4 linked regions of the Astyanax mexicanus genome follow. The main gene of each other region encodes a partner of the protein of the gene in region 3 in a complex. Links are inferred from orthologs where the notes say so. Each region holds a gene or a part of one and is shown on either strand. Other genes may lie near its edges. The genes, in order: gins1, dnajc9, mcm2 and gins4.

The links.
Region 1: mcm2 (region 3) and gins1 share a complex: the UniProt entries of both Homo sapiens proteins name them as parts of the CMG helicase complex. The link is inferred for Astyanax mexicanus from reciprocal best matches to the Homo sapiens genes MCM2 and GINS1.
Region 2: the proteins of mcm2 (region 3) and dnajc9 are in contact, whole or in part, in a crystal structure (PDB 7CJ0), measured with the Homo sapiens proteins. The link is inferred for Astyanax mexicanus from reciprocal best matches to the Homo sapiens genes MCM2 and DNAJC9. Residues at the interface, in NP_004517.2 of Homo sapiens: Glu65, Glu66, Glu67, Asp68, Glu104; in NP_056005.1 of Homo sapiens: Lys185, Arg189, Arg192, Lys244.
Region 4: mcm2 (region 3) and gins4 share a complex: the UniProt entries of both Homo sapiens proteins name them as parts of the CMG helicase complex. The link is inferred for Astyanax mexicanus from reciprocal best matches to the Homo sapiens genes MCM2 and GINS4.

What each region holds. Positions count from the first base shown.
Region 1 is NC_064414.1:30,474,904-30,482,584, reverse strand, and holds the start of gins1 (DNA replication complex GINS protein PSF1), read left to right. Parts: upstream 1-4,679; 5' UTR 4,680-4,855; coding exon 4,856-4,930; intron 4,931-6,086; coding exon 6,087-6,151; intron 6,152-6,258; coding exon 6,259-6,357; intron 6,358-7,034; coding exon 7,035-7,125; intron 7,126-7,218; coding exon 7,219-7,335; intron 7,336-7,681. Other genes in the region: pancreatic triacylglycerol lipase, read left to right, coding at 1,566-1,629. UniProt on the Homo sapiens protein: Required for correct functioning of the GINS complex, a complex that plays an essential role in the initiation of DNA replication, and progression of DNA replication forks.
Region 2 is NC_064422.1:19,868,665-19,876,262, forward strand, and holds the start of dnajc9 (dnaJ homolog subfamily C member 9), read right to left. Parts: upstream 3,004-7,598; 5' UTR 2,852-3,003; exon of another isoform or gene 2,697-2,851; intron 2,601-2,696; 5' UTR 2,596-2,600; coding exon 2,422-2,595; intron 1,128-2,421; coding exon 987-1,127; intron 868-986; coding exon 613-867; intron 524-612; coding exon 440-523; intron 1-439. Other genes in the region: si:ch211-207i20.2 (zinc finger protein OZF), read left to right, coding at 3,840-4,061, 4,556-4,724, 5,079-5,137, 5,506-5,608, 6,301-7,310.
Region 3 is NC_064431.1:668,475-675,919, reverse strand, and holds the start of mcm2 (DNA replication licensing factor MCM2), read right to left. Parts: upstream 3,006-7,445; 5' UTR 2,866-3,005; coding exon 2,860-2,865; intron 1,967-2,859; exon of another isoform or gene 1,832-1,966; intron 891-1,831; coding exon 700-890; intron 124-699; coding exon 1-123. Other genes in the region: ccdc51 (mitochondrial potassium channel), read right to left, coding at 4,544-5,332, 5,457-5,621, 5,908-6,231. UniProt on the Homo sapiens protein: Acts as a component of the MCM2-7 complex (MCM complex) which is the replicative helicase essential for 'once per cell cycle' DNA replication initiation and elongation in eukaryotic cells.
Region 4 is NC_064419.1:27,447,999-27,455,265, forward strand, and holds the start of gins4 (DNA replication complex GINS protein SLD5), read right to left. Parts: upstream 3,017-7,267; 5' UTR 2,794-3,016; coding exon 2,692-2,793; intron 1,232-2,691; coding exon 1,145-1,231; intron 133-1,144; coding exon 19-132; intron 1-18. Other genes in the region: cytochrome c oxidase subunit 5B, mitochondrial, read left to right, coding at 4,660-4,756, 6,009-6,079, 6,168-6,267, 7,030-7,142. UniProt on the Homo sapiens protein: Required for correct functioning of the GINS complex, a complex that plays an essential role in the initiation of DNA replication, and progression of DNA replication forks.

The sequences.
Region 1 (7,681 bases), on a different chromosome or scaffold from region 3:
GTAACGGTAATAGACTTATGACAGCTTGGTAGAGTGTCCAGTGTGGTGCTTGAGATCAAGGGCGTAGGAGCGGGCTTGATATTGGGGGGGACACATTTGCCAATATGAACCCAAGTCCACCCAATAGTTTCCTAGAACAACATTTGTGGAAATTACTTTTAATTAAAAGTAAATTATTATTATAAGGTGATTTTACAACCTAAACATGTTACTCCACATTACAGCTACTGTTGTTAGAAAAATTATGCAAGCAATGTCTGAGTTATCACCTAATATTTAAAATAATATAACAGATTATTATTATTGTTATTATTATTATTATTATTATTATTATTATGTATTGGCATGTCAATTCTGTTGTATATTTACATTTTCTCCTGCACTTTTATTTTTTTCTACTGAGAGCTCTTCTTAAGATGGTGTCCTTTTATGTAAAAGAATGTAACTTTACGTTTCATAGGGACTTTTATAAACGTCAGGATATGTGGTCTTACTGTGAAATACAAATGAACAGAAGTCACGTTACAGCAGTGTTTCTCAACCCAGTTCTTATATATTCTACTGCATATTAAAACTGTTCTGCATATTCTAGAGCTTCCTCTGGTGGATATACATGATTAATTTAGGCTCCATAGGGGGCTAAAGGTTTTTAACAGGTAAACTCAGTAAATGACTGTTTATTAGCTGATCAGGTGGAAAACACTAGTTTAGGGCAGTGATCGGGGTTAAGTAACTGCTTTAAACTACCAACTTAAAGTACTGTACGAAATTCTGGCGATCATCTACATCCAGCTTCTAGATAACTAGTTAGTTAAATCAATTTTCGTTCATTATAGCTCACAGTAAGTCCTGTAATCCTAAATGAATAAACAGTTTGAAAATTAAAGTGATTAGCTGATCAGGTACAGGGAAACATTACATATATTTTTTATTTTTTTCCTTTAACCCTGACTCCCAATCTAGCTAATTCCAAAGATAAGCTTACACACTAACAGCTGCAGTTTATTAATCACAGTGGGTTTAAACTGTGTGCTGATTCAGAGACGTGTATTTTTAACCAGCTATCAGAAACATATCATCACAGTTGAAGTGGTTAGCCTATCGTTACCTTTCTTTTAGAAAAATCTCCGTATATCCATATCTGTTTTAAAATCAGCTGAAGCTGCTGCGTCCCGATCCCGCTGCTAAATCTCACAGCGAGGGGGCGGGGCTTCCCCAACAGCAAACTGCCTCTGCTCCGCGCGCCGCAAAACCAGCAAGCTGATTGGCTGTTTCTACTGAGAGGCGTGACTTAATACCTGAACCGGCTCCGTGATTGGTCCGGTCTGTCTCCTCATTAATAGTACAGCTGACCTGAGCGAACTGATATCATTTTTGGGGGGGACAAATCCACCTGTTTCTAATATTGGGTGGGACATGTCCCACCCATCCCCCCCGGTTCCTACGCCTATGCTTGAGATGCTGAGATAATTCTGAGAACACCACATAACTCTCTCTCTTTTTCTTTCCCCTCTCTTTCTTCTCCTCTTTCTCTTTCCCACTCTTTCTTCTCCTCTCTCATACAGGTTCAAATTCTGTGGAAAGGACCAGGTCAGAGAGAACATCCTCCAGACACTGACTGCTTGCTAAATATGCAGAAGTATTCAATAAATTCTTAACATTGACTCATTCAAACTGTGTCCTTGGAGAGTTTTCTTAAAATGCAGTACTATGCCTCCTACAGTGTTCTGGTCCAATTGAAAGAAGTCAAGTTTTCTCTCTGTAATTTTTTTTATTGAGTCATTATCAGAATTATTATTCACACAATACATTGATAATTTTTTATATATTTTTTTTATTTTTGTCATGCATGTGTCCACCCTGTTATAGCAAGCTGCACCACAAGGTGGACAATGACAGACAACTTAAAAAAAATTGGCATTTAATCAAAACATGATTAACCCAGAGTTGCAGACATATTAAATTGTTCATGGTGACCATGTTTATTTTCTAAAAAAAAATTATATTATACCACAATTCCGTTTTATTTGTGACATTATCAGCTTGGTCATGCACAGTAACGGAAGTTCTCCACATATTACTCTGGCACATACGGGTAACCTAGCACCGATGCAGCTCTTTCAAACCAAATGCGATGTCTTTAAACACCACTGGGAGCTGCTGGATTCTATAGGCACAGTACAGATATGCCATGTCTTCAATAGGCAGCGCAGACAAAGATGCGGTCCACACAAATAAATAAACCCAGCGATTCGAAAAATAAGCATTATTACACACATTATCAGCCACCAATATCAGGTTGTTATTATTAAAATAAAAGCTAAAGGGTATAGTTTCCCGTTAATATTGGGTATTTTAAGCTGAGCGTAAGGTGGACTCTTGTAATTCTGCAGGTCTCGCCGCTGGGGGGCGCCGAAGTAAACAAAACTTTAATTAAAAAAAAGAAAAAAAAAAGCCTAAGGAGCACTGGCCTTTAATCTGCACAGATTTCTCTCCTGAAAACAGTTAATTTGGGTGAATGAAGCGCTTCCATTTGTTTACAGTGCGCTTAGATTTTCCACAATTTTGACCGAAATGGGTGATAATACAGAGCTTATAGCGCAGCTACAAGCAGAGCAGCTATGGAACTATTTTAACTGGCGGAGTGTTTATAACCAAACCAATCGCATATTCTCGTCCTGTTTAACTCAAACTCTTTCAATAAACAGTGATAATGAAACTGTGGTATGATCACAATAATACACTCGATGTTCGTGCTATAACGTGTAGTATTGGCACCTCCTAGATATAGCTCTCCTTCTCGTGTATTAATGCTTATTTATTAATTGCAATAGTATATAGCTGCCATCTTGCGTGCGCTTGCGCAGTAGAGGCCAGAACTGGCGCGGCAGATTACTCAATTACTCTTTGCGTTTCACCGTCATTTTCACCAAACAAGTTACTTAACTTAGCTAACCTGAGTTGGTTATTCTAGTTAACTAGTTAGCTAGCGTTAAGTACCTAACGCTAGGTTAAAAACCTAACCTAGATACTAAAATTAGAGAGAAGAACAAAGTATGAATACTAATGAATTGATGTAGGAAAATTATCCACTTACCAAAAAAACTGAAGAGAACTTTTCCCTGTTAACTGCTGAACAAGCCACTGCTTTACTTCAGAAATCTAATTTTTAACAGTAAAATAGGAAGACCTGTCAATCAACTTGCCCTCAGCTGCCAATCACCACATCGCCACACCCCTTTAAATATCACGGAATAACTCCTATAAAACGTATTAACTGTAAAGACAAACCCTAGGGGTTATTAACACAGGAGGGGGGCTTGCAGAATGTACAGAACCTTCCAAAAATTAATGTGTAATTTTAGATTAAAGATTCCGCCATCTCTCATACAGGTGAATGGATGGGGTTAAAAGCTGTACTGGAACCAGCCACCAGAGGGCGTAAGAGACGTGGTGGCTTCACTTTTCAACCCCTGTTGTGCTGTCCATACTTATTTATATACAGTCTATGGGGCATTCTCATGCTCGTTTAAATAGTTTAATATTTTTTCTAAAAATAGGCTAAATAGCCTAAATTATTGACAAAGTATCCTCAAATACTTATGAAAATTTTGAAAAATTAAATAATGTGTTAATTACCCATACCAACTAATCCTGGCAGCACTGTGGACATGGCAAAACCCCACTAACACATCAAATAAAACTGTATAAAATGTCCACAAGGTTCTCTAAAGTGAATATTAACATATTTGTAACTATATCTATATTTGTAATGTGTTCATTCAGTGTTCATCTTCAGAAATGTATTGTTAGTATTTGTAATGTTTCGCTCAACAATGAATGGTCCATAAATACCCATAACCATGCATATTAATAAATATAAAAAATAGTGCATTTAGTTACAGGATCATCAGATAAACATTTGCCTCCAGACATACTGTTAGTCCTTAAATATTTGGACAGTGACACTAAACTGGATTTCAAATGAAACACTTGAGGTGTTATTGAAGTGTTTCAGGTTTAATTTAAGGGGCTGATCAAAAATATCCTATTAAGTTTTTAGGAATTATAACCTTTTTCTACAAAAGTCAGAGGCTCAGAAGTTATTGGACAAATGAACTTTACCATAAATAAAATGTTAATTTTTAATACCTTCTTGAGAATAAAGGTTGAAACCCACTGACATCACCAAACACTGTTTTTTTCCTTTATGGTGCTTTGCCAGGCCTTTACTCTAGCAGTCTTCAGTTGTTGCTGGTTTGTGAACCTTTCTGCCTTTAGTTTTATCTAAAGTAATGACTTAATGTTGCTTGATCAGGTTCAGATCTGGTGATTGACTCGGCCACTGCAGAGTATTCCACTTCTTTACCTTAAAAAAAAAACTCTTGGATTGTTTTTACAGTATATTTAGGATCATTGTTCATCTGTACTATTCAATGCCATCCAATCAACTTTCCTGCACAAAATACCTGTACACTATATAGCTGTACACTTCAGAAATCATCCTTCTACTTTTTTTGCACATGTTCTAGGAGGGCCCCATGTCTTTAGAGAATTAAAAATAAGGCTTTTCATTAATTTCTAATGTATTATTGGAATAAGCGTACGTTTACTTTTACTAGATTTTCTGACCAGACGGAGTGTCCCACTTTGCGTTCCGTAGTTATCGAAAGGGTCACGTGATCAAAACACCGCATTCTGCCGCGAAAATCGTGTGTGAGGAGCAGCGGGAGAAGCACAGACTGATATAACGCTAACATACAGTCTATGAATACAGTTTGTATTAAATACAGTCTGTATTAAACAGCGTTAGTTAACTAAGCTACAAGGTCCTACTTTATATATCAGTTTAATCATGTTCTGCGAAAAGGCTGTGGAACTTATTCGAGAGCTTCACCGGATGACTGATGGCCAGCTGCCCGCTTTTAACGTGAGTATATTTATTATTTATAGATACCCTGCATCCATTCAACTAACCAGACTGAATAGGCCTGGGTTAATGTGATTATAATAAACGTGATAGCTGAAATAACTGTATTTATGTTTTTATTTAGGAAACAGTGCGGCTTTTTGATGTCACTAAAGTAGATGCTAAGCTAAACCAGTTTAATTAAATCTTGGTTAGTGAACTGGTTCTGAAACGGGTACGCTGAGCCATATAGTTTAGCTAGCTGTAGATACAGAAGCAGCACAGATAGTAGGTTAGCTAGTAAATAATAATAATAGTAGTCTGATAATATTATTGCACAGTGTGTAGCTAACCTACATAAGTACATACAATAAATATAAGAAATGACAAGAACTACAACAACAGAAAAATACTTTGTTATTGTGTTGTGCACTGTGGACAGTGTAGCAGGTAAAAAATGAAGATACATGGTCTTTTTATAACAAATAAAATGGTGAAACTGATGACTAAATCTCAAATAACAGGTGAATAAGATGGAAGTTGAAGGTTTTAGGTTGGCAATAAACCATTTGTTTAGTGCATATTTTAGTTCCTTTCTGAAGGGTTTTAATTGTGGAACGAGCAAAATACAATAACTGGACTTTCTGAAGTTATCTCCTCATTGTAGAGGCAGGCCAACATGATTCACCTTCATGTTTTTACCTTTGAGTTCCTACCTTTATCTCTATGCTTAGGTCTGTCACAATAATTACATTATTGACTTATTGTACAATAATTAGTCATGACTACAATCATTTTTTGCTGAACTCAATATATTGTCTGACGTGTTTACTTTATTAGAACATGTTTATTTTTTGGTTTTACTTATTACTCCTACAAAATTTACTACATATACTACATTTTTCATATTTTAGTTTATTGTTCAGTTTAGTTCAATGTCTTAACATCCTTAATTATCAACATTCTTTGCTCTTTAAAAGAAATATCGCATTAGTAGGCTATTTTGTTATTATATCAGTGGCATAAGTTGGTCTTAAAATGGTTATACAATTTTATTGTAGTTTTTTTTGTGTAATAATTATTGCGACAGGCGTACATTCACTCTAATATACAGTATTAAGGGTGCAGAAGTCCATCTTACATGTGCACAAGTAATAACCAGCATTTATCTCTGCAGGAGGACAACATTCGGCAGGTGCTTGAAGAAATGAAAGCTTTATATGAGCAGAACCAAACTGATGTGTAAGATACCAACTTTCTTACCTTTTGCCATCTGTGATTTTCTTCAATCCCATTACATTTCGTGTTATATCTGATTAACAACATATCTGTTTTGACCCTCTTAAAAGTAATGAGGCTAAAACTGAAGGCAGGAGTGAACTGATCCCAACCATCAAGTTTCGTCACTGCTGCTTGCTGAGGAACCAGCGATGTATCACAGCCTACCTGTGAGTAACCTGGATCTGCTCTAATACTACTCAAGTAACTCTAAGGGCTCTATTATACAGGTCAGTTCCTCTGCTGAGACAGGCAAAAGCGCTGTGCTGTTAAGATATGAACGTGCCAAAGTCAGAGCACACCTGGCTCTTGAAGAGAACGACGACTGGCACACTGATTGGTTTATTTTATGTTAGACACAAAAAATACAAAAGAATTAGTATTTCTTGACACCAAAGACACACCGAAACATCCAAAATCAAGCTGTGCGATCCACAATTGACCGATACACTATAGTTCACTAAAATAGAGCCCTAAGTCTTAATTTATATACATTCATTGCTCACAGGACATTCAATATTCATTATTATAATAAAGGTTCTGCACAAGTTTAGCAAAATTGCATTTTTTGTTGCATTTTATACTCTACATATTAACCATGCAAATGTCTTTGTTACAAACTGGCTATTCAGTGTTTTCCAGATTGTCTATTGTGTATATTAAATACATATAGTAATTTCTATCCCCTTTTCTATTATTTATTTATATGAATTTTATAAATATATCTACATATTTGTTTTGAGGTATATTTTGTGCATTGTTTTCCTGTTCTTCTACTTTATTACTTGATCTAATGAATATCAAAGTATTTCACTATTACTTTTACACCCCTATCCCACTTTAACAGTTATGATCGCCTCCTTCGAATCCGTGCTCTCAGATGGGAGTATGGGAGTGTGTTGCCCACCACGATTCGTTTCCACATGTGTGCAGAAGAGGTGTGTTTTTTACTTTTAAGACCAAGTTATTCAGTATTTCCTTATTTGGAAATGAGGTAATACATATTTCATTTTTTATTATTAAAACTGCAGTTGGAGTGGTTCAATCAGTACAAGAAATCCTTGGCCACTTACATGAGGTCACTTGGAGGAGACGAAGGCCTGGATATAACACAAGACATGAAGCCCCCCAAGAGTCTGTATATTGAGGTAAGATGTCTTACAGCCACAAGAGATGGTATGGTGTAATGGGTAACACCACTACTTTCTCTTCTTTCGCTGGTTGGACAAACACTCCACCAAAGACTCTGAACACACCTAGTTGTGTAGCATGACTCAAATCACACAAAAACAGTATCTCCAAAACAGAAGCTGTACGAGAAATGGAAAAAAAAAAAACTTTACGTTTAATTTTTTCAGATTTCATTCCATAATGAAAAAAAAAAAAAAACATTTCTTTTTATTTTACAATATTTTAGCCTAGCCAAATTAATCCACTGACTTACTATAAACTTTCATCCTCATTTGTAATGTCCTTGGTCCCTAACAGGGGTAG
Region 2 (7,598 bases), on a different chromosome or scaffold from region 3:
GTGACAGGAGGTTTTAAAAAGTAAATTTTCTATTTAAATTGCATCTTATTAAGAAAATATGCAAATTTAAGCAGATGCATGTTCGTGTGTGCACTCGTGTTTGTTGGGCTACTGGAAAGAACCACTGACAGCCAGCTGTGTCCAAATACTGAATTGTCCTCTCCTAGACCCATTTATACACTTGGTAAATACATGTGACTAGAGTCTGTATTATATTCTGATTAGAATTTTGCCATATGTATTTACTCTGGGCTGTCTTAAACAAAATCTGCTCATTGCACTACTGACCATGTTTAAACAAGTTAATAGATTTTTTTTGGTAGAATTATGGTGGATCTGGTATGAAGGACAATTAACCATAATCTACTCGGGTCTGCCAGTATATTTACTGAGATCAAACAGATTTGTTAAAGAATAAAGCCTGTAGATGTATGTTCACCTGGATCATGGCCACTAGACTGTCCTCAGCATCCAGTCCCATCTCTTTCCGCATCTCATCCGCCTCCTGCTGCTCCTTCTTGGCCTGGACAACACAGATCATAAACGTAAAACACTACACAAGTACTGGAGACCAATAAACACTGCCATGGGCTGTTCTATATTTCCACCGACCTTCCTTTTGCGGTTGGCCTTCTTCTTGGTGCTCTCATGGGTGAAAGCTTTGTAAGCAGGTATGTCTTCAGCATCTATGGCATTCTGAAGGATCTCCCGGATGCGAGGCTCATCTCCGTGCTCACAGCACAGTGCGTGGTCCATGATGTGGTCCATGTCTCCCTCATGAAGCAGGTAGAGCCTCTTCAGGTCCTGCACTTCCTCATCTGAGCCCTTGTACTGCTTCTCAAAGTTTAAGATGTCCTGAAGGGTGATCTGATACAACAAAAAAAGACAAGAGGATTTGTTTACCATAGTATTTTAGATAAAAATCCCTTCATATTAAAAAAATCAGTGCCTAGATCTATGAGTAGTTGCTGTTAAGGAGTACTGACCTTTGGAAACAGCCTCCTCCAATGTTCTTCCCAGTCACGGTCCTGATCAATGGAGTCTGATTCTTCATCCACTATGCCCTGTTCATCATACACAGCCCTTTGCTCCTTGTCGCTTAACACAGCATAAACCTTTCCGAGAATCTGTAAGCACAAGCAATGTAAGGTTTACACAGATAAATCATGCAGAATGTCCCTGTAAACTTGGTGGCGGTAGTGTCATGGTCTGGGGCTGTTTTCTGTCAGTGGAAGTGGCACACTGCACAAAGTGAATGGAATAATCTTTTTAGTTCGGGAATGCTTTTCTGCTTGGTCCTACAAGCTTTACAGACCATAAGCCACACACTAGCTTTAACCCAATTTAATTATAATACAGCAACAGACCTTCATAGTGCTCAAATGAGAAGTAATGCAATAAAAACCTTGTGTGATTTATATATTAATAACTCAGAAACAGATAAGTTAAGAACACACCTTACATTAATAACTATAATTAAAGAGGCACTAAACCCCCTTATTTTTGCTCACTCGACCCTCAGCTCAAATTTGCGCATTGCCTTGGATGTTACGTCAACATGGAAGGCAAATGTGTACAAATCAACACTAAAATCAATCTTCTTTTGGAACAATGTATCTAGGAATCACCAGGCGATGACAAATAAAATGTTAAAGAGGAAAAAAGAGAGTTCAGGAGGGGCAAGAACAGAAATGAGTTTTTTGCTAATTATGTTATTACTAAATGTTTTTGACTGGGATATAAAACACTAATGTTACAGGATTATTAATGACAAAGATAAATAGCAATACTGATAATAAATCCCATGTAATCCAAATACAAAGTCATGCACTTAGTTGTTTTGCCATATGCTTTAAACATGTGACAGACATATACAGCAATGGAAAAAAATTAAGTGACCACTTTAAAATTATGAGTTTCTTTGATTTCACCACATTGAAAAACCTCTATAATGAAGAGGAAGATGGATGATCACAAGACATCAAACCAAGCTTGAACCAACTGCTTGAATTATTGCACCAGGAGTGGCATAACATTATCCAAAAGCAGTGTGTAAGACTGGTGGAGGAGAACATGCCAAGATGCATTAAAAAAATTGGATTTTCTTCTAAAACTTTATAAATATGAACTTGTTTTTTTTTTGCAGTGTTTAAGTTCTGAAAGCTCTGCATCTTTTTGTTATTTCAGCCATTTCTCATTTTTGTCAAATAAATGCTCTAAATGACCATGTGGTGAAATACAAACATATTCCTATAAATAGCAAAATCTGATCGACTGATTCAGAAACTAGAGTGGGCTCTTTTTTTTCCTCCGGAGCTGTATTTCGGGCTAGTCTAAGCTTCTGAAGGGCGGGTTTTAGACTGAATATGGGCTGGATATTTTTGTTGGACCTGGCAACCCTGTGCAGTGTGCTGTTTTTACCTGGAACTTGGTGGTGGCCTGCTCATCCCCGGGGGCTCGGTCAGGGTGAACCTGCAGGGAGAGCTTGTAGTAGCCGCGCCGCATATCAGCGTCTGAAGCCCCCTTCTGGACCCCCAGCACCTCATACAGACTGGAGGAACCAAACAGCTGCTCGCACTGCTCCAGCAAACCCATGACTCCTGTGAGGAAAATCAAAATAAACACATCAACCTAACTGATTAACTAACTAGCTCAGCAGAGGAAGAGCCGTTAATTACCCCCCTTCGCCCACTAACCTTCTATTAGCTAGCTACAATCCTCAATTCCACCTTAAACAGAGCAGCGCTTTTCTATTCAGCGCCTGAAAGTTTAAGGTGGAACGAAGAATTCCAATAAGAAGAGAAGTCCAGAGGATTTAACACAAGGCTGAATTAAACACACACTCACTAACCCGCTGTACACTGGATACGGGATTAAAATAGTCCCCTGTTTTCCGTTGTTTTCCTCTCTTCCCTCTAATCCCCCTCTTCTCGCTGTTTCTCTCCTCTCACTTTGCCGCCTTCTGCTCTTCTTCGGCCGGTCAGGTTGAGGTCCGGGAGGAGTAGCGCTGCCTGCAGGCGGACATTGGTCAGGGCAACATTTTGCAACCTGCAAAAGCAGTGGTGTGTTTTCCTTCTTAAAAATAAATACAGTTTGTGCCATAAAGTGTTGATATGTTTTTTTTCTTAATGCACTTTTTCACTATTTTTTATTTATTCATTTATGCTGCTATTTTAAATAAGCAATTTAAATTGTCTTGTGTTTCATCTGCAACCAGTTTTTAAAGTATTTTTAAAAGTATTTAATCTTTTATCACGTGTTTCAAAACATGTTCCCTTCTGCTTTGTGAAAACAATACATACAGAATTATTAAGGGAATTATTAAGGGAATATCAGATACATATTCATACACTTCTTAGTGGAAAAACGATTGACTGATTTGCATTGTGATGTGTCTGCGTACCAAATCACACGGACACATCATTCACACTTAAAAAAAAAAAAAAAAAAGAAAACATCATTCACACTTTACACACTACAGAGGTAGAAATTACCACAATAAATGTGTTTTTAAGGTTAGAAAATGTTTATAAAAAATAAATAAGCAGGACTGGTACGTTTTATTTCTTCTTATGAACACACTTCAGCTGTTAATGAAAAAAAACTATGGTTTAGGGTCTAGTGGCTCTTTAAGTTTTGATTGCGGAGCGGAAGCGGGACTTTTATTTTGATTTTGGTTACCCGGATGTAACTTCTCGCGCCACTGTTACCAGTGTTATCTGTGTGTTGTGTGTAGAGGCGAGCAATGCTGCGGTTGACTGCAGCTGTTTGTGATCGATCTGGTTAACGGATTAATTTATCGGGTCTTTAATCGATTAGCGGACTGATCGGCGGGACTGATGTCTGTGCCGGCGCTGCACGCGCACCTGGCGGCGGTGGTGGAGGCGCTGATCCGCGCGGCGGTGGCGGAGATGAGCGCACTGCTGTTGCTGCGGGACAAGCACAAGAGCACGAGCGCCACCACAACAACAAGAACACAAACAACAACAACAACAGAAAAAGACACAGAACCGACACAGAGAGCAGCGCTGTTACTGCAGGGGGAGAACGAGCAGAGACTGGTATGCGGTTTTCAGCCACGGGGTTAAAAGAGGTTGGGGTTCAAACTCATAGTAAAGTGGGGGCAAGTGTAGTATAACATGTCAGTTTATATATAAAATGTAATGTTTATTTTTTAAGTTTTAAATACAGTTCCAGTCATACATTTGGACACACCACTTCTTATTCAATGTGTTTCTTTCTGTTTTCTGTTTATTTGAGCTCATTTATAAAATGGGGGTGTGTTGGGTTATGGCTTTAAATAAGTAGCTTCTTTTAAAAGTGTATCATTTGCTTCTCCATGTCTTTTCTTCACTCTGTGAAGCTTATCCCAAATCCCCCAATATTTATGTAGTTGTACTGTAACTGTAGTTGTGAAAATCAATAAAAGTCTGCTTTAAATTATATAATAGCAATGCTCAAGGAGAATGCAGGCTTATAAAAGGGATGTCATGTCATCAAATTGATTCCTGTTTATTAAAGCACACTCCTGTTTTGTGATTTTTCTTTCTTGCAGAAGAAGTTCGCGTCAGTCATGGAAGTCCTGGGCAATGAGGCTCTAGGTAAGATCATCAAGCTTGTGGATGAGACCAAGTTTCTGCTGGAACTAGAGTGCAAGACTTTTTCAGGAAAGAGAGCACAGCACCCGGGGAGCATCCTGAACATCCTCTCAGTGGGAGAGCTGGGTAAGGACTTGGTAATTAGTGATTCATACAATATTAAAAAACAGAAAAGTTAATTCAGAAGAAAATTCATTGTAACAGTATGGCAAACAATGCACCCAGGAAGCTGTTAAAGTTAGGGCCTTGCCCAGTGGCAGCTTGTTGAACCTGGATATTGAACCCTTTTTAACCCCATTTAACTGCTGAATCACCACTGCCAAATTTTAAAGCAATAGTTTGGTATATAAACCAAGTGAACATGATAGATCACTCAGTCCAGACCCCTTGGACTCACTGTGCTTCACTGCAGAAGGTTCTCTGTGTAATTTAACAATTTAATTGCTGCTTCACTTCTTTTTTTATTTTTCTTACTCTTAGAGGAGGAACATTCCTATGATGGATGTGGAAGAAGCTCGGAGACGAGAATGCAAGATGAGGTGAGTTATTGCAGATGTATTTTGTGGTTTGCCCAGGGGTAAAAGCAGGTGTTTTATTGTTGAGAGCAGCTGATGGGTAAGTATCAATATAACATGACTTTTGCTGTCCACCCTGTTATGGTCAAATATAATGGTAATTAATATAAAAGGTCCTCATAAACAGTTCAACATGTCTGTAACTGTTCTAATAATGAGCCCAATAAAATAAAAGCAAAGCAAACTAAGTTCAAAGCATGCAAACAATTGGTGGACAAATTTGGTGAATATACAGTACTTCCCTATCCTTTTTGGAAAAATGCTATTTTCCCCCTTTCTCTATGGTACCTCTGACCTGAAAAAAGTAAGAAGTAAGTGTTTTGTTCTCTCAGTCTGCAGACACAGATGAGCCTCAGCAACCAGACTCTCCATTAACCCTGGCAGTGACCATCAAAGATGAATTTGGAAACATTGACCTGAAGTCCATCATAGCAGGTAATATGGGTTTATTTTCTGAATTTCTGAATACTTGTCTTATCTTATCTTGTACCATCTTTTGATCCAGTCTCTTTCACTAGGAGTTGTTTTTTACCCCCATAATCTTGTGTACAGTTAACCAAAAAGGTCCTTTAATTATTTCTGAAACTTTGCCAGACACATGCTCATCTAATGTTTCTACTGAAATTATGTGAAAAGGTATTGGGAAGAGGTTTATTGAGCAATCAAATATAATCAGACATTATTAATCTCTCACCCACATGTAGTTTAACAGCCAAGACATGTTTGTTATCTGATGCTCCACAAGATTACCCAGATACTACAGTTACTACAGCTATACATAAATACCAAGTGTTTACCAACGCCCCACATCAATAGTCCAGAACACAAGACATTTTTGCTGTATTTATTGTCTTACTCCCACCCCGGACAGGTCTGACCAGTAAGCAGAGAGAATGTTCTCACACAGGTTGTCTTGAAACATTTTGGTGTGCTTAACTCTTTTTCCCTGTGTGGAAATGATAAAAAAACAAGGGGAAAAATGCTCAGGTTTACAAACGCATTAACTATTATTTATTTTTTCAGACCAGAGCAAATTATCTGGCATTTAATGGTTATTCAGAATTTTGCTGCCTGTTTTTTTTCTTCTTCTTCAAATTCTGATTTTAATCAATATTTGCCTATTATAGGTCATTTGGAGCTGACTTCCACAGAAGGTCGAACAACAGAAGAGGGCAACGAAGCTGATCAAGACATTGGGAGCTTTGGAGGACGTAGAGCTTACATATGTTCAGAGTGTGGGCGAAGTTTCTCCACAGTGAGCAACCTCAAATCCCACCAGCGCATCCACACAGGTGAAAAACCCTTCGGCTGCGTGCTCTGCGGCAAGGCCTTCGCCCACAAGCAGAGCCTGGTGGACCACCACCGCGTGCACTCTGGGGATAAGCCCTTCATCTGCAAAGTGTGCGGCAAGTGCTTCGGCAAGGCGGCGCACCTGAAGACGCATGAGATCATCCACACGGACGAGAAGCCGTTCAGCTGCGACAAGTGCGGCAAAAAGTTCAACATTGCTCAGAACCTGGCGAGGCACCAGCTGACGCACACGGGCCAAAAGAGCTTTGTCTGCTCCAGTTGCGGGAAGAGCTTCACGCGGGCCAAGACGCTCATCACGCACAAGCTGATCCACACGGGCCAGAAGCCCCACACCTGCATAGTGTGCGGCAAGTCCTTCCGGCACGCTGTAAACCTGCGCAACCACGAGCGGATCCACACCGACTTACGACCGTACCCCTGCGACCTCTGCGGCAAGACCTTCCGGCAGGCGGTCAACCTCAAGATCCACAAGCGCATTCACACCGGTGAGAAGCCCTTCACCTGCAAGGAGTGCGGTAAGAGCTTCAGCCAGCAGAGCAGCCTCATCTCGCACGGCCGCACGCACTCGGACCTAAAGCCCTTTGGCTGTCGGTACTGTGAAAAGTGGTTCAACAACTCCAACAGCCTGAAGCTCCACGAGAGGATCCACACGGGCGAGAAGCCGTATAACTGCGAGTCCTGCGGCAAGTCCTTCAGCCAGGGGAGCCATCTGCGGACGCACAAGCGGCATGTGCACGGAGGGGGCAAACAGTATATATGCGACAAGTGTGGAAAGCGCTATGCAGACCCGCGCAACCTGAAGCTACACAAGTGTGTGTATGCTTGAGTACAACTCGGACTCAGGACTCAGGACTTTTTAAAGGGGAATTCCACAATATTGTTAAAATCTGCTGCATTATTCAGTGTTTAAAAGGTGGTTTGATTTATTATTAAGAAATGTGCCAACTCTGTTTTTTTTTTTTTTTTTTCATATGAAATGGGTGTTGATTGACACAAATATGACCTTTTTTATTTAATATCCAATCCCACCAGTCAAGCAATTAGTCTTTTCAGTTCTATAAGGAATGTTGATAATGGTAGAATTGTTGCAAATCAGTTGCAATTGCAAAAAATA
Region 3 (7,445 bases):
TCTCGGCGCCTCATGGCCTCCTCTGCAGCCGCACGAGCTCCAGGAGAGAGCTCACTCAGGTCCTCTTCATCATCCAGACCCTCCTCTTCATACCGATCCAGCTCTGGGATGGCACGGTAGTCCCTGAAAAGAGCAAAATATGAGATTAACATGTGACAGTATGTGGTGCTGCTGGGCTAACATTCAGAAACTAACTTGAAACATTCTAAAACCAGTTTTCTATACCTACTTTGAGCTGGTGTTTCACTAAAAACAAAACATCCTCTTTGACTGAGGCTTGGAGAATATCAGAAATATTCTTTCAGAATTAATATATTAGCATATTTTCAATGTCTGTTTTATAATTACTGCTTTAACTGCAGAAAACAAATAATATTTTACACACGTGTGGTAATATCGTTGAGGTCACTGTGATTCAGTTTTAAAATCTCTCTAAAACCTTCCTTTCACTTAAGGCCCTAACTTAGCAACACAAACAATATATACTTACACAATACTTCAATAATACTTAATGTAAATAATACTAAAATATAATACTTAAAATAATACCAGAACCACTAATAATTCATCAAATAAACATAAAATAACTGGGGCATACACTTCGCCAACATGTTTAAATGTTTAAAACTTTACGAAAGTAAATTTCTGGAATCATATTGGCCAAGAATGAAGTGCATTTAGCAAGAGGAATTTCATTACATCTCCATCCCGTTCCCAATGAGCTCTTCTCCATCTCCTTCCTCCTCCTCCTCATTAGGGATGTTGTCCCCCAGCAGACCCTCGGACTCGTCCTCGAAAGGAGGCAGGTCTCTCCCCGGGCTGGAGGTCAGGTCCCCCCTCCGAGAGCCACGGCTGGGGCTGGTCGCCATGTGAAAAGACTCGGATGAATCCTGGAGTATAAAAAGAATGAAAAGAAAAGTTAGAAAATTACAATTCAAGGTCGTAAATAGCGCCAGTTTGAACCATCTGTTCTAGAATTGTATAAGCAATTTACCCACCAGACATGATTCCAGCATCACTGTAAATCCTAATTTTAAATATACATTTAGCGAAGTAAGATATTAAACTGGAAAATTGCTCCGCAGGACTTCAGTGAATCATTTTTCACTACAGCATAAATTAAACAAACTAAACATTATTTGGTCTTGCTTTTCAAAGAAATGCAGTTATAAAACTAAAACATAACATTTCTTGAATACTAAATATTTACAATTCCAACAGACAAAGCACAATATGCTATAATTATGCTGAAATTACCATTTCAATTTATTTTGTTTTCCATTTTTAAATAATAAACATATATTTAAGTTACAAATATATATGTTATAAGTATTCTTAATAATGCATGTGCTTTATTGATAGAAAAAAAGTTTTTTTATAACTTTGGAACGTAGTTTTATGAGCAAGAAGCAATGTGACTTTTTAAGACTTTTCCGTTCCACCTTAAAAATGTTACACGACTTAGCTAGCTAACCTACAGAGAATCTGGCTCGGTGCCCCAGAGCACTGCTGTATTTAAGGTGGAACGAAAGAATTCAATACAGAAGCTACGGACAATTTTATCAATAACGAATTGGATTACGTGAGCCATCGTTACCAACATGTAGGTATTAAAACTGCTCTATTATCAGCTTTTAGTATATTTTAATACTAAATCCTTCCCGCCAGTAACGTTATAGCTACTTTAGCTTAGCTAGCTAACTTAAACTGAGGAAACAGGCAGCTCTCTGGCTAGCCTGTTGTAGCTGCAAATACAAACACACTGCCTGAGAGAAAAACTTAATATTTTGTTGTACAGACACTTGAAAGGCGCCTAAATAAAATTATTCACCTCAGATTCGCCTCATATTTTGCTTCAGGGCTGCGTAATAAGGTTGATTAAGTAATAAACACTCGATTTAGCCCACAATGCTAACCAGCAGGAGCTTCAACAAAGACTGAACTTCTGCCCAACGTGGTCCTTCACTAGAGTACTAACTTTACGACAGACAGACAGAACAATACAGCAAAATATTAAGTTTCTCTCACTTAAACACATTTAACTTACTGGCGTCTAAATATCTAAAGTTAGATATTTTTAAGTAATACAATCAAGTTATTTATTTTAAAAATGTCAAAGTTAAAATTAAAAATTAAAAAGTTAAAGTTAAAATGTAGTTACAGCATCCGTATAAATAACTAGCGTTTTAACCATTCCCTTAAAAAGAACAGCTGTACAACAATAATAACAGTAATATCTAGTTATAGATAACGTTAAAACAAGATGATATATTTTAAATGTTAAGATAAGATAAAACAATGCCTTTATTAATCCCACAGCGGGTAAATATTGTGACCCATGTTAGCAGGTTAACAGCAGGAGTAACAGAAGACAATTAATGTTTTGATAATTATACAATAATTATTTTTAAAAATCTATTCGTAAAAAACGTATACGTATATATAACGTGTACGTATATCTTATGGTAAGCAGTCACCAATGTTATTGAACACAGGCTGACAGATTATTACAAAATGCCTCCATTCAGTTACATTAACTACGCACATTTGTTTATATCTAACTTACGAACTAGTGACCTATATAGTTATATATTTATAATTTACAATAGATCAAATCATATATATTTTTTAACATTTGGCCTTGTAAAATGCTATTATGTGCACTTGTTACTGCATTTCTATAAAAGACAACAACTTCAACCAAATCTATCAGATTTGTCTCTCAAAATAACCAGTATTATGACATTCTTCAATTATAATACATGTCTACATATAATCAGTTTAACAGTATCAGCCTCGTTTCAGACTATTTCCTTTAATACACTTTATTAAAATAATAAATAACAATCTTTAACTCACCGCCATCGTGCTGGTTTGATGTATACACGCCTGTTCTGCTCACTCTCCGGCTACTTTCCCCTGCAAGCCGAAGTTTTCGCGCGAAACTTCCCACGTGACCACAAAGCGCGGGAAAGCTTATGAATATGTATAGCTAAGGATTCTCCGCGAGTTCTAATTGGTCTGTCCGCAAGAGCGCCACGCCCCCCTGTGCTGTACTTCTACACAGATTCAATGCAGTATTTGACAAAGCGCGGGAAAGCTTATGAATATGTATAGCTACAGAGTCTCCGCGAGTTCTAATTGGTCCGTCGGCTAAAGAGCCACGCCTCCCTGTGCTGTACTCCTGCACACATTCAGCGCCGCATATGACAAAGCGCGGGAAAGCTCATGAATATGATCACATGACGAGTTTCCGCTGCTCTAATTTGCCGTTGGTTGGAGATGTAAGTCCACGCCCCCGGATCTGTAATTCCGCTGGGGGTCACTGTAGGATATTTTATAGAATAAAAGCACATTGTCGTTTTGTACTGACAGTACAGAGGAATAAATAAATTAATAAAATAAAACACACAATTAAAGTGTTTATTTTTAGGTCATAGTCTGGCCTTATAGCTCGGTAATATTTTTATAACATTTATCTTAAAATGATTTAAATAAACTTTTCCCTTTTCCCACGCGCTCGTAAAGGAGAAATCCAATGTGAAACGGACTTGTGTTGCAGTAAAACATGATAACCAGTACACCCTTTTGTCCAATAGTCCTCCTCCATTCTCCCCCAGCATTAAAAAAAAATAAAGTACTTTTAGCTGATGTTCCCAACAAGCTTACAATGCTAGCGATGGGGGTATACAGTTACCCATCAAAGTAGCACCACACTTCATTGGTAGAATTTCGAGGGCCTTACAAATAAAATGAGTGTTGCAGATAAGGAAAGCCATATATTTGCAAGGCAGGGGAAACAGAATTAAAGAACCCTGCTCTGGAGTGATGAAACTCCATCAAATATATATTTGGAATGAGTTGTAGTGTGAGTTTCTATCTTTATTTACGTTTTTTTTAGGCAAATACAATAAAATCCTCACTGAAATATTCAATATTCATCATACAACCTTCTTATTAGAGTAGAATCTGCTTTTAGCTAACAGGAATGCTCATATAGGTCGTATTTCTTATTCAGAAAGTTGAGATCGCCAACTTTAAATTCCAATATGGCTGCCCCCACATAAACAGTAGTAGTAGAAGCAGCAGTATGATATAGTTTATTATCATGTCTATCCCTTAGTGTTTTGTTAAATTAGTCATACACACAGTACTGTGTACAGCACCAACTTCTACCTGTGGTAATGGTGTTTCCATGCTGTTTGGATATGCAAAATAGTGTATAATGCTTTTTTTAATCAATAGGTATCAATGGTAGCAAACTAAATCTGACTTCTGAGGTTAACAGAATGAGGATAATACCCTTGCTTTCATAAGATGCACTAAAAGAGCAGGTAAGTGTTTCTTAAGAACATATTTAAACAATATTATTAAACAAGCAGCAGATCATTTAGAACATTTTAATCAGTGTTTATCCATCAGTGCATTAAGCCATGATATAATTCCAATGGTCTCCTATAAAATCTGAGGTTATTCTTGTCGGTCATTGGCCCCTTAACTGCACACGATCTACCTACACTAGTATCCAGTACCCTGTACCCTATTATGAAGCTTTAAAGATGACGTACAGCACTGGCATAGTTAAAGCAAAAGCAGTGTAGGTCAGAACTGTGGTGTACAGAGTAGTCTTATTGATCTGAGCCTCCAGTCTCTTCTCCGTCTGGTCCAGTCCCTGGATGATGCTCTCTGTATCACACACCAGCAGCTGCGTATCTTTAGTCTGAATGACTGGCTTCTCAACAGGACGATTCAACACAGATTTCCTCACGGCGTGAAGCTCTGTCGCCACCTTCCCCACGCTCTGCTCCAGCTGATGCAGCTGGGGCTTGAGATCTTCCATGAGAGCCTGAGCTTTCTGGCTGTGGAGGAGGATCTCCTTCACGGCTTCTTCTGAGGCACCGTGTGTAGACGGAGGGGTTGAAACGGGCACTGCTGCTGGCACTAAGACGGACCTTGGCTTGACTTTTTGTGCCTCGACTCCTCCACCTTTCACAGCTGCCCTAAACGTATCTATGAGGCCACGGAGTTCCTCCTGCTGGTTCTTGTGTAAACTGGCTTGGATCTTGATAGCTTCCTGTAGACTCGCCGGTCCCTTCTGAGCTTCTAGCAGCAGGCCTTTCAGTTCTTGAAGGCGTACCCGGTTTACGTAAGTGGACCCCATTACCCCAATGATGGCACCCAGCACCGAACCAATTACGGACCAGTTCTTGGTTCGCTCGGCCCGAGATCGCTCCTTCTCGTGGCTCTCTCGCACACCAGCCGAGAAGAGCGCAAATTTCTCTCGTTCGCACTCCTCCGCATTCTCGTAGGTTGTTTTCAGACGACGCTCTTCCTGCAGAGACAAAGAAGTTAGTGAGTGGATGGTTTAAGTAAATTAGAACCTCTTATCATGTTATTAGTAAGGATGCACAGAATATTTGGCAACTAAAATACATTTTCTGGAAATTACAACAAACCTGCAGTAGCTTGTGTTCCAGTGTTGCCAGTTCTAGATAATGTGCCTCCTCTCGTGATACACGGTCCAGGCGATCTCTGACTTCCTTCAATCTAACTTGAAGAGCCTCCAAACTGACGTGAGCCTCACGGACCATTCCTCTGGCTACCATGAACGCCTTCTCTGCCTTTAGACAGGATGAAAGATACAAGGATTACACAAACATAAAAAGATGATTAAGTCTAAAGAAGTGCTCTTCAGCATTTAGAAAGCTATAATATAAAGCGCTGGGAAAAAAATAAGAGACCACTAAAAATTATGAGTTTCTTGGTTCTTGATTTTACCAAATTAAAAACCTCTGGAATACAATCAAGAGGAAGATGGATGATCATAAGCCATCACCAATATGGCTTTTTGCACCAGGAGTGGCATAAAGTTATCCAAAAGCAGTGTGTAAGACTGGTGCTGCTCACCTCTGTAACTTTGCTCTGAGCATCTCGAACTTCATTGAGACCCACAAACTCCTCGTACTTCGCCCACCAGTAATTGACGGTAGTGCTCATGGTCCTCACAGAATTCTGTCCCCACTGTTTCCCAAGCTTTGCCACATTCTTCAGGGCGGCCGAGGCACGGTCCTGAGACGACACGGCCTTATCAGCCTTGTCCTCTGGGTTCTGCTTCGGGGAACAGTAGGTTCTGTTGATGGAGATGTTCCACTGGACTCTGCCAGGGACTTTGAGAAGGTAGAAGCAAGTTCCATAGCTCCTTGGTAGGACACAGCTTGCTCTGTACCTCATTGACTTGCTTTCATTTGGGCAGGAAACACACCTTAATCTGGCAACCTGTGGGAAACAATGTAAACAATGTAAACAGTGTAAAATGTTCTAAGGTGAGAGAACCGTGAGTATGGTAAAGGCAATTGGACCATTTTTAACTTCTTCAACATCTTCAGTGATGAAAAAATGTAAAAATGCTGTTTTCTGTCTGTAATGCACAGAAAAGAAGGCTCTAATAATCTATTATAAATTCTATTGTATTGGAAGCATGTGTGTAATATTTTACATTTGATGTTCACACTTTTATTTTCTAAACCTTCCATAAACTGGAAAAAAACATAATTAAAAAGTATTCTGAATCACATTAAATTAGTATAAAATAGCTGTTACTTTGCATAAATGGATCTAGGTACTATTCTACTGTTTTTCCAGTCTAGTGTATGGGGCAATGTTACCGTTTCATTGGTTCATAAACTTGTTCATTTGCTGGTTCGTGATCTATTCTGATAGACAGCAGCTCTCAAATAGTGTTATATACAACAAAACATTTAAAAATAAAAATATATAATACATGATGTCTATTATACTAGATGAAGGTTCTAAAAGGGTTAATTAAATTAGAATAAGATAGTAAATTGATCTCATTTCTCAGTGTTTTTTAATGAAATCAGTCAGCAGCAAGAATAAACACACATGAAAATAATGATAATATAATTGCAATATAATCTACTTTAATATACATAACCATTCAACACCATTCACTTTCACTTTACACAAGCTATCCTATATAATATATAGCAAAAATAGAATAAAATATTAAATATCTGCCTATATAACATGACATTTTAAAGCTATAAGAGTTTAAACACTTAAGCACTGAAGTTGCCATATATCAGATGTCAATAATTCACCCGGCAGCTCACTATTAGCCAGCTAGCTAATTAGTTAGCTAGGTTAGCTAGCTAGCTTCAAATTCATTTATATATATTAAAACACAGTTATCTAGTTATCTAACACACTAGTTACCAAACCTACCTACCAGATACCGTCTCTGTTAGTTAGTCCTGTCTGCCTTCGAGCGAAACCCTGAGCATTTTAAATACAAAACCAGCCTGTTATGAACTAATATCAGACAGACAGAGGTGAGTTAGCTTTGAGCAGTTAGTTAGTTATCTGTATGAAAGTCATGCTAAGCTAACATTTTCTTCAGGCACATTTCCAGGCTCCCCGGCCCG
Region 4 (7,267 bases), on a different chromosome or scaffold from region 3:
ATCTATTCTCCACGCTACCTTTTGCAGTCGAGACCGGAGGTAGCTGCTCAGGACAAAGCGAATGCGGTCAATCTCCATGCGGTGGACGCTGGCCTTTAGGTCTCCCTTCTTCACACGCTGCAGATTCTCCTCCTGAAGTTATGAAAGAAAACATACTGATATAAGCTGATACTATTTAGCATAATCTGCCAATGGCATTTTAAAACAAAAACTACAATCTTTATGTCTTTAGTGCTCTCAGGAAACCATAACAGTGCAGGCAAGTATATTGTTAGTATTGTTAGAGAGAAAGAGGTACCACTGGGGGGTGGACAATATCGTATTTCTGCAATAAAGATATTCTTGGTAATATGACAAAACACTACATATCACAACACGTAACAAAAATATATATCACAATGTTAACATGCAGAATATTTAGGTTATGTATATAAACTCTAAACATAAAAATATTTACAAAAATAATCCATAAAAACCTCACAGAAAATAGCAAAACAAATAAAAAAATGACTAATTTAAAAACAGAATACCACTAATACGTATTACGATTATTATTGTATTGTAATGTATTAAGTATTGTAATATTATTACAAGAATTTGTGTTTTTTCTTTCAATTTTTAAAAACTATATTACCATGTATGAAATGGTTTACCCTAGTATCTACCCTTTTTTACATTAAAAAAAAGTTGGATAAAGGCTAAACACTATTTAATTTCCAGACAAGGTATGAGACAAAGATTCATCTAATCCCTATAGCTTTCATTTATTTATTATATATTTAGGTAAACAGGGTGCCTTATTTATCTGATGGTTTTATCTGAATGTACATCAGATGACTGCTTTAGGCAATACCACTTACAGAAGACCATTAGGCACTTTTAGCAGTGGATGAGTTACAGCAGAAACCTGAAGTCAGCTCTACCAGAGATTATGAGTGTTATAAAAATGAGGATTATGCACCAGAATGCTGAAGCTCCATATTAGGGAACTCCTGAGGTGATAGAAGAATAAAAAAAGGCTAAATGTGCCCTAGAAAGCATTAAATCCAAAAACCCTGCAGTGCAGTCTGACTTCTAGCCCTAAAGCTAACACACACACACGTATATACTGCTTCTTCACATCCCATTCATCATCCATCCTTACCATGTGAGTGAGCTGCTCCATCACACACTCCACCAATTCAGACTTGTTCTCCAGAAGCTCTGGGGAGAATTTCTCATTCAGCCAGGCCTGAAAAACAGAAAAACAGCTTATTAATACAAAGTAATCACAAAAAAAAAAAATAATAATAACAATCAAAATCACCATATATCCAAAAATATCCAGACACATGTTCTGCTTAGTTCTTTACATTTCAGTTACTTTAAACTGCCCTCATTTCTAACCCATGATTTGTATAAACTCTATAGAAAAAAAAAAAACTAAAACTAAAAAACTAAATGTGAGATTCTGAAGTAATCACATGATCAATATGGACACCATATAAACCTATTGGCACCATGCCTGTTGTGTTCTGATAAATTACTGTGGTTCATTCAGTGCTTTTGTGCTGAGTTGGTGAGTTTAAGATAAGGTGGGGTGTTGATCCAACATCCTGATCTCACAGCAATGTCCTACTACAATCTAGTAAAATCGCGTGCTTGTTTCTTTGTGGACCGAAAACTCCCAGTTGGACCTACAAGCGGTCAGTGTAACGTTAATCAGTTCAACTTTAAGGTAAATTAGATTTCATTACTAATAAATATTAATACATTTCATTATTTAATTTTGTCCACTTAACAACTAGTTTTCAATTAATTTCTTTTTTCATTTCTGTCTCTCATGATCTGAATTACAGGAAGTTTCATGAAATTTATTTTTTTCATCTTGTAAAAAGAAAATAGATATCATTATACCATTAGTATACCAGATTTTTGTTACAAAATGCAAAAACTGTACAATCAGAAAACTGAATAAAAAAAATAAAAAAAATGATGTATTTTTATTTCTGATCACTAGTGGCAAAAAAAAAAAAAAAAAAAAAAAAAGAATTAATTCAAAACACATGAAGGTTACACTGACTTTTTTTTACACCTTGCTGCTTACTCAAAAGATTAAAACGTACTGGTTTCAAAACTATTTAAAGTATAAAAGTAAAACTAATGTAAGGGGGAAAATGTAACAAGGGACAAAACACAAAAAATAATTAATATAAAATACAATTTTCCATCTTGTAAAAAGAAGGTAGGTATGATTAAACCATCAGATTTTTGCTACAAAATGCAAAAAAAAATAAATAGAAAACTGAATAAAAAACTTAAAAAATTATTTCATGATCATTAATTAAAAACACATAACAGATCACTGTTACATTGACTCCAAACACCCTGGTTTTAGAATGTATGCGACTTGTTTATGAAGGCATTCTGGCGCCATTTATTACAATATTTTGTCCTCTTTTCACTCAGGTAGGTTATACAACTGCTGTCAATTTAAAATAAATAAATCTTACGGACTGCTGCTTTAAACAGCAGCAGACTGTTTCTCAGAGCAGAGTCTCCTTATTCCAGTACAGAGAGCAAGCAGCCTGTTTAGAGGCAGAGGAGCTGAGAGACCCTGCTGCTACTGGACAGTCCTAAGCCTCAGGTAAAGATCTGCACGGTGAAACAGAGCCGCCAGCTTCTGCAGTAAAGGTTAAAGAAACGACTGACCTCCTCCAGCCTGGAGATGAGTTCAGCTGGAGTCAGAACGTCCTCCTGACTCTCATCTTCTCCGCTCAGATCTCCAGCGTCCGACAACTCATCATCAGCCATGACCCAAAGTTCCTAACGTACCCGGAGATACGAGTCTTTAACACCGTCCTTCTCCTAAAGCACAGGGTTAACTGACCAAGATGAACACAATCACAGAGCAAAATCCAGCGGATAACCGCGCTGAACGCGTCTGTAAACACAGTCAGTAGTTTAACAGCAGCCTCTCACTGACACAGACCAACAACACACACCAACACACAGCGCGCACTAAGATTTCCCGCCAAACAGCAAGAGTTTCCCGTGTCGTCATTATTTCTTCACGGAGGTTATGCTCCGTAGATCTGCGCAGTGTATAATATCCAAAACAGTGGGTTATGCTGTTATGGTGAGGTTATGCGTAAACCTGCTCAGAGGTTAGAAAGTTTGTACATAAAACAGCAAAATGTGCAGGATATATGACAAATTGAAAAAAAAAAAAAAAATTTGTTATTAAATCATTATGTCAATATTTACATATTTAATAAAATCAAAATCTAAATAATGAAATTAAAAAAAATTCAAACAATAAAAATACATTCTAAATGCATTAAATCAATTTTATAAAACTAATTTATTTACTATCTATTGTTATTTAGTTTTTTTTTCTGCAAACAATTCTTATTTTATATCTTATATTTGTAACAACATGAACAATAATGAACGATAATACAATCATGAAAATAATAAATTTAATTTTGCGTCAACTACTTTGCGTTCTACTTTTTTTCACTAATTCATTTACTAATTACTATTATTTACTCTTTTTACAAAAAAAGAGTTGGTTGGTTGGTTGGTTGGATATTTGATCTCAGTAAGAACAAAAGCTTAGGCTGTGCCACAGGGTCCTGTAGTGCACAACTTAAAAAAAAAAATCTAAAAGACATAATGACTATAATGTTACTTTAAAATCTGAAAATGTTGAAAACAATTGCACTACAGTGCCATCCCTGTGTCAGCCACATATGCGCCCATTGAAAATGAATGCATTTAGTACAATGTAAATGGACATCTTTATACTAGGCTACATATGTCTGCTACAGCTCTGGAAAAATTAAGAGACCTCTTAAAAATTACGAGTTTCTTTGATTTTACCAAATTGAAAACCTCTGGAATATAATCAAGAGGAAGACGGATGGTCACAAGCCATTAAACCAAGCTGAACTGCTTGATTTTTTTGCACCAGGAGTGGCATAAAGTTATCCAAAAGCAGTGTGTAAGACTTGTGGAGGAGAACAGGCCAAGATGCATGAAAACTGTGATTAAAACCAGGGTTATTCCACCAAATGTTTATTTTCTGAACTCTTAAATCTTTATGAATATGAATTTATTTTCTTTGCATTATTTGAGGTTTGAAAGCTTTGTATCCTTTTTTCGTTAATTTGACCATTTCTCATTTTCTGCAAATAAATGCTCTAAATGAGAATATTTTTATTTGGAATTTGTGAGAAATGTCTGTAGTTTATAGAATAAAACAACAATGTTCATTTTACTCAGAAATTTTACCTATAAATAGCAAAATCAGAGAAACTGATTCAGAAACTGAAGTGGTCACATTTTTTTCTAGAGCTGTATATCCTTGCTGCAGTGTGAAGTGGAGAAATGTAAGAAGTACATCTTACAGATAATTGTGTGTAAATGTAAGAAGTAGAAGTTAAAGGTCTTGTTTCTCCAGTAAAGTATAGATAGAAAATCAACATTTCTACTTCAGTAAGGTAAATAAGTATTTGTACTGTAGTTATTTGACCCCTGTGTATGAACTGAACTGTAATGAGTGGATTAGTCCTCCTGACAGCAGGGGCAGGAGAGTCCTCCGCTCTCTGTAGAGGAAGCTGGTTTAGATAAGCTTCCTCTCAGTCGGACTCACTTCAGATCCCGTTCAGCAGCAGAATGGCGTCCAGGTTCCTCGTCCGAACTGCGGTGAGAGCCGCTCTCTCCAGGCGGGCTGCCCCGGTCCAGGCCGCTGCTCGGGGGTTCGCAGCTGGAGGTGATCCGCTCTTTACTCTCATTTATAACCGTCTGAGTGAAAAACAGCCGCAGCGGAAACTGTATTTAATGATCAGATTAGCCTCCTTAGCTTAGCTCACCCTGAGAGACTGAAGGACGAAGCTAGGGCGCTCACATCCTGCTGCGGGTTCAGTTAATGACTTTATCTATCTGACACTTACAGATCTCTGTATTAATAACTGTTCTGAACCTGTGATTAATTTGCGCTGGACTGCTGTATTTACTACCAGACAAAGTGACCTGTTAACGCTAGTTCTAGGCCTGAGGTGTTCTTATGGTTTGTCCTCCGCTTCCTTGTGGAAATGTCCTCCTTTAGCGTTAGCTTAAGTTACCTAGTGCTAGCTCCTCACTCAAAACTGCACCTCTAATATTTCAATTAGAGAAAATTAAATAGTTTATTATAAGTATTATCTAATGCTATACAGTCACAAAACACGTCTGAGCCATTTCTGTTAGTGTTATTTCTTTCGTAATAGCTTTATATTGCAGCTGTATGTCTAGCTAATAAGAGACCAAAATGTGCAAATATAAATAACCGAGCTGATTTAATATTTTGTAAACGTTTAAACAAATCGTGGACAACTGATCTCTATTTTTGAAACAACTGTAATTCTGGATATTATTTTTATTTAATTTAAAACATTACATATTCAACTCGCCAGAAGTATTGTAATATTTGCTTTAATTCAGCAAATAAACTAATATATATTTTTCTTGTTTTTCTGTGTATGTTATGTCTGTGGTCACAAACTTGCAAAAGGCCAATTTCATATTTTAGTTTTCCAACAGCATAGAAATACAATAATATAACATAAAGTTCTTTAAATTTCTTATTTTATGTAGTCTGGACATTTTTTTTAACAAATTAGGGATAATTTTGTAAATATATTTTTATTGTTTTTTTCCAAAGCACAAGAACATATAGACACAAAATAAAACACAAATTAGGGAAAATATTAACTGGACCCACTTTTAATTTGAGTGTTTAAATTTTTTGTCTCGTCTTTTGCCGAAGGTCTAAAAAAATAAAACTTTAGCTCAAGACCAGCTGGTCATTAAGAACAAACATAGCCTATGCTGGTAGGCTAGGCCAGCTTTTGTCCTGCATATGGGATTTGATTTGAACAAAAATATTTAACAATATTAAATGTCTCTTTAATCAGGACAGTTAATTTTTTTTTTTTTTTTTTTTTTTTTTTTTTTAATATTTTCTAATAAAAATGTGCATGCAGGAATCCCTACTGATGAGGAGCAGGCCACTGGGCTGGAGAAAATCGTGATGAACGCAGCTAAACAGGGGGCTGTAAGTATGGCCATTTTTGGGATACATTTAAATTACTGTTCATGTCAGATAATGGTTAATTACAGTCTGTGGTGTCTTCTATTCTCAGGATCCCTACAGCATGCTGAAGCCAAAGGAGTACGCAGGCACTAAGCAAGATCCGCATATTGTGCCTTCCATCAACAAGAAGAGAATCGTTGGCTGTGTTTGTAAGTTATTTTTTTAAACGTTTTTTGTTTTTTTGAGTGTAGTTGCACTTTAAGACGTATTTCAGTAACCGCTGTTTTGTAATTTAAGTGAATAAAGGTGCATCAAACTTTATAAAATTTGTCTTGGGTCATGGAGGATAATCCATGAGATATTAAACTATTAGATGTTCGGTTTGAAGCCCTTAAAACACTTGCACTTTTACATTTTGTTTTTATTTATTTATCTTGAGAGATTTAAGCTTAAATTTAAAGTCAGTGAAGCACTTTAAACATAAACATCCGTATATTACCTTTCTTCTAGAATAGTGCTTCAAAAAAATAACTTTATGCTGACCAGGTTGTTAGTTCATTCTTTACAAGTCAATTTTGCCTAGATGGACAGTGAGGAGGAAAAAAAAAGTCAACCTGTAAAACTGCGGTGTTAACATTTGTAACATTTGTGCTGGTGCACCTAATAAAATAAAAAAAAAGATAAAAGCTGCTAATATTCAGGATAGTCCTGGTACTCTTGGGAGAGACAAGATGTTTGTAATAATGGTTCATGGGCAAGATTCCTTGCATTAAATTTACTTTGTATGAAAGCTTTGCCGTACTTGCAAAGAGATGGGTAACATAAAATAAATTGAAAGTTCACTGCATTTAGATAAATCTTGGTTTGGAAATTAGTCTTAAGCTGCAGCCCTTTTTTAACCATCTTACAAGCAATCACTAACATTTATTTTATGTTTTTTTTTTTTATTATAATGTTTTGTTTTTGTGTAGGTGAAGAGGATAACACAGCAGTGGTGTGGTTCTGGCTGCACGAGGGAGAGGCCCAGCGCTGTCCATCTTGTGGTGCCCATTACAAACTTGTCCCTCATGAACTGCCTCATTAAGTAATTGCTGTTTCACATTGCACAGTAGCTTTAACCTGGTCAGTTTCTACAAATTCCATTGATTTTACCTCATTTTGCTGATCCTTATTCCATACACATGTGCAAGTACTCTGGTGCACAAGGAA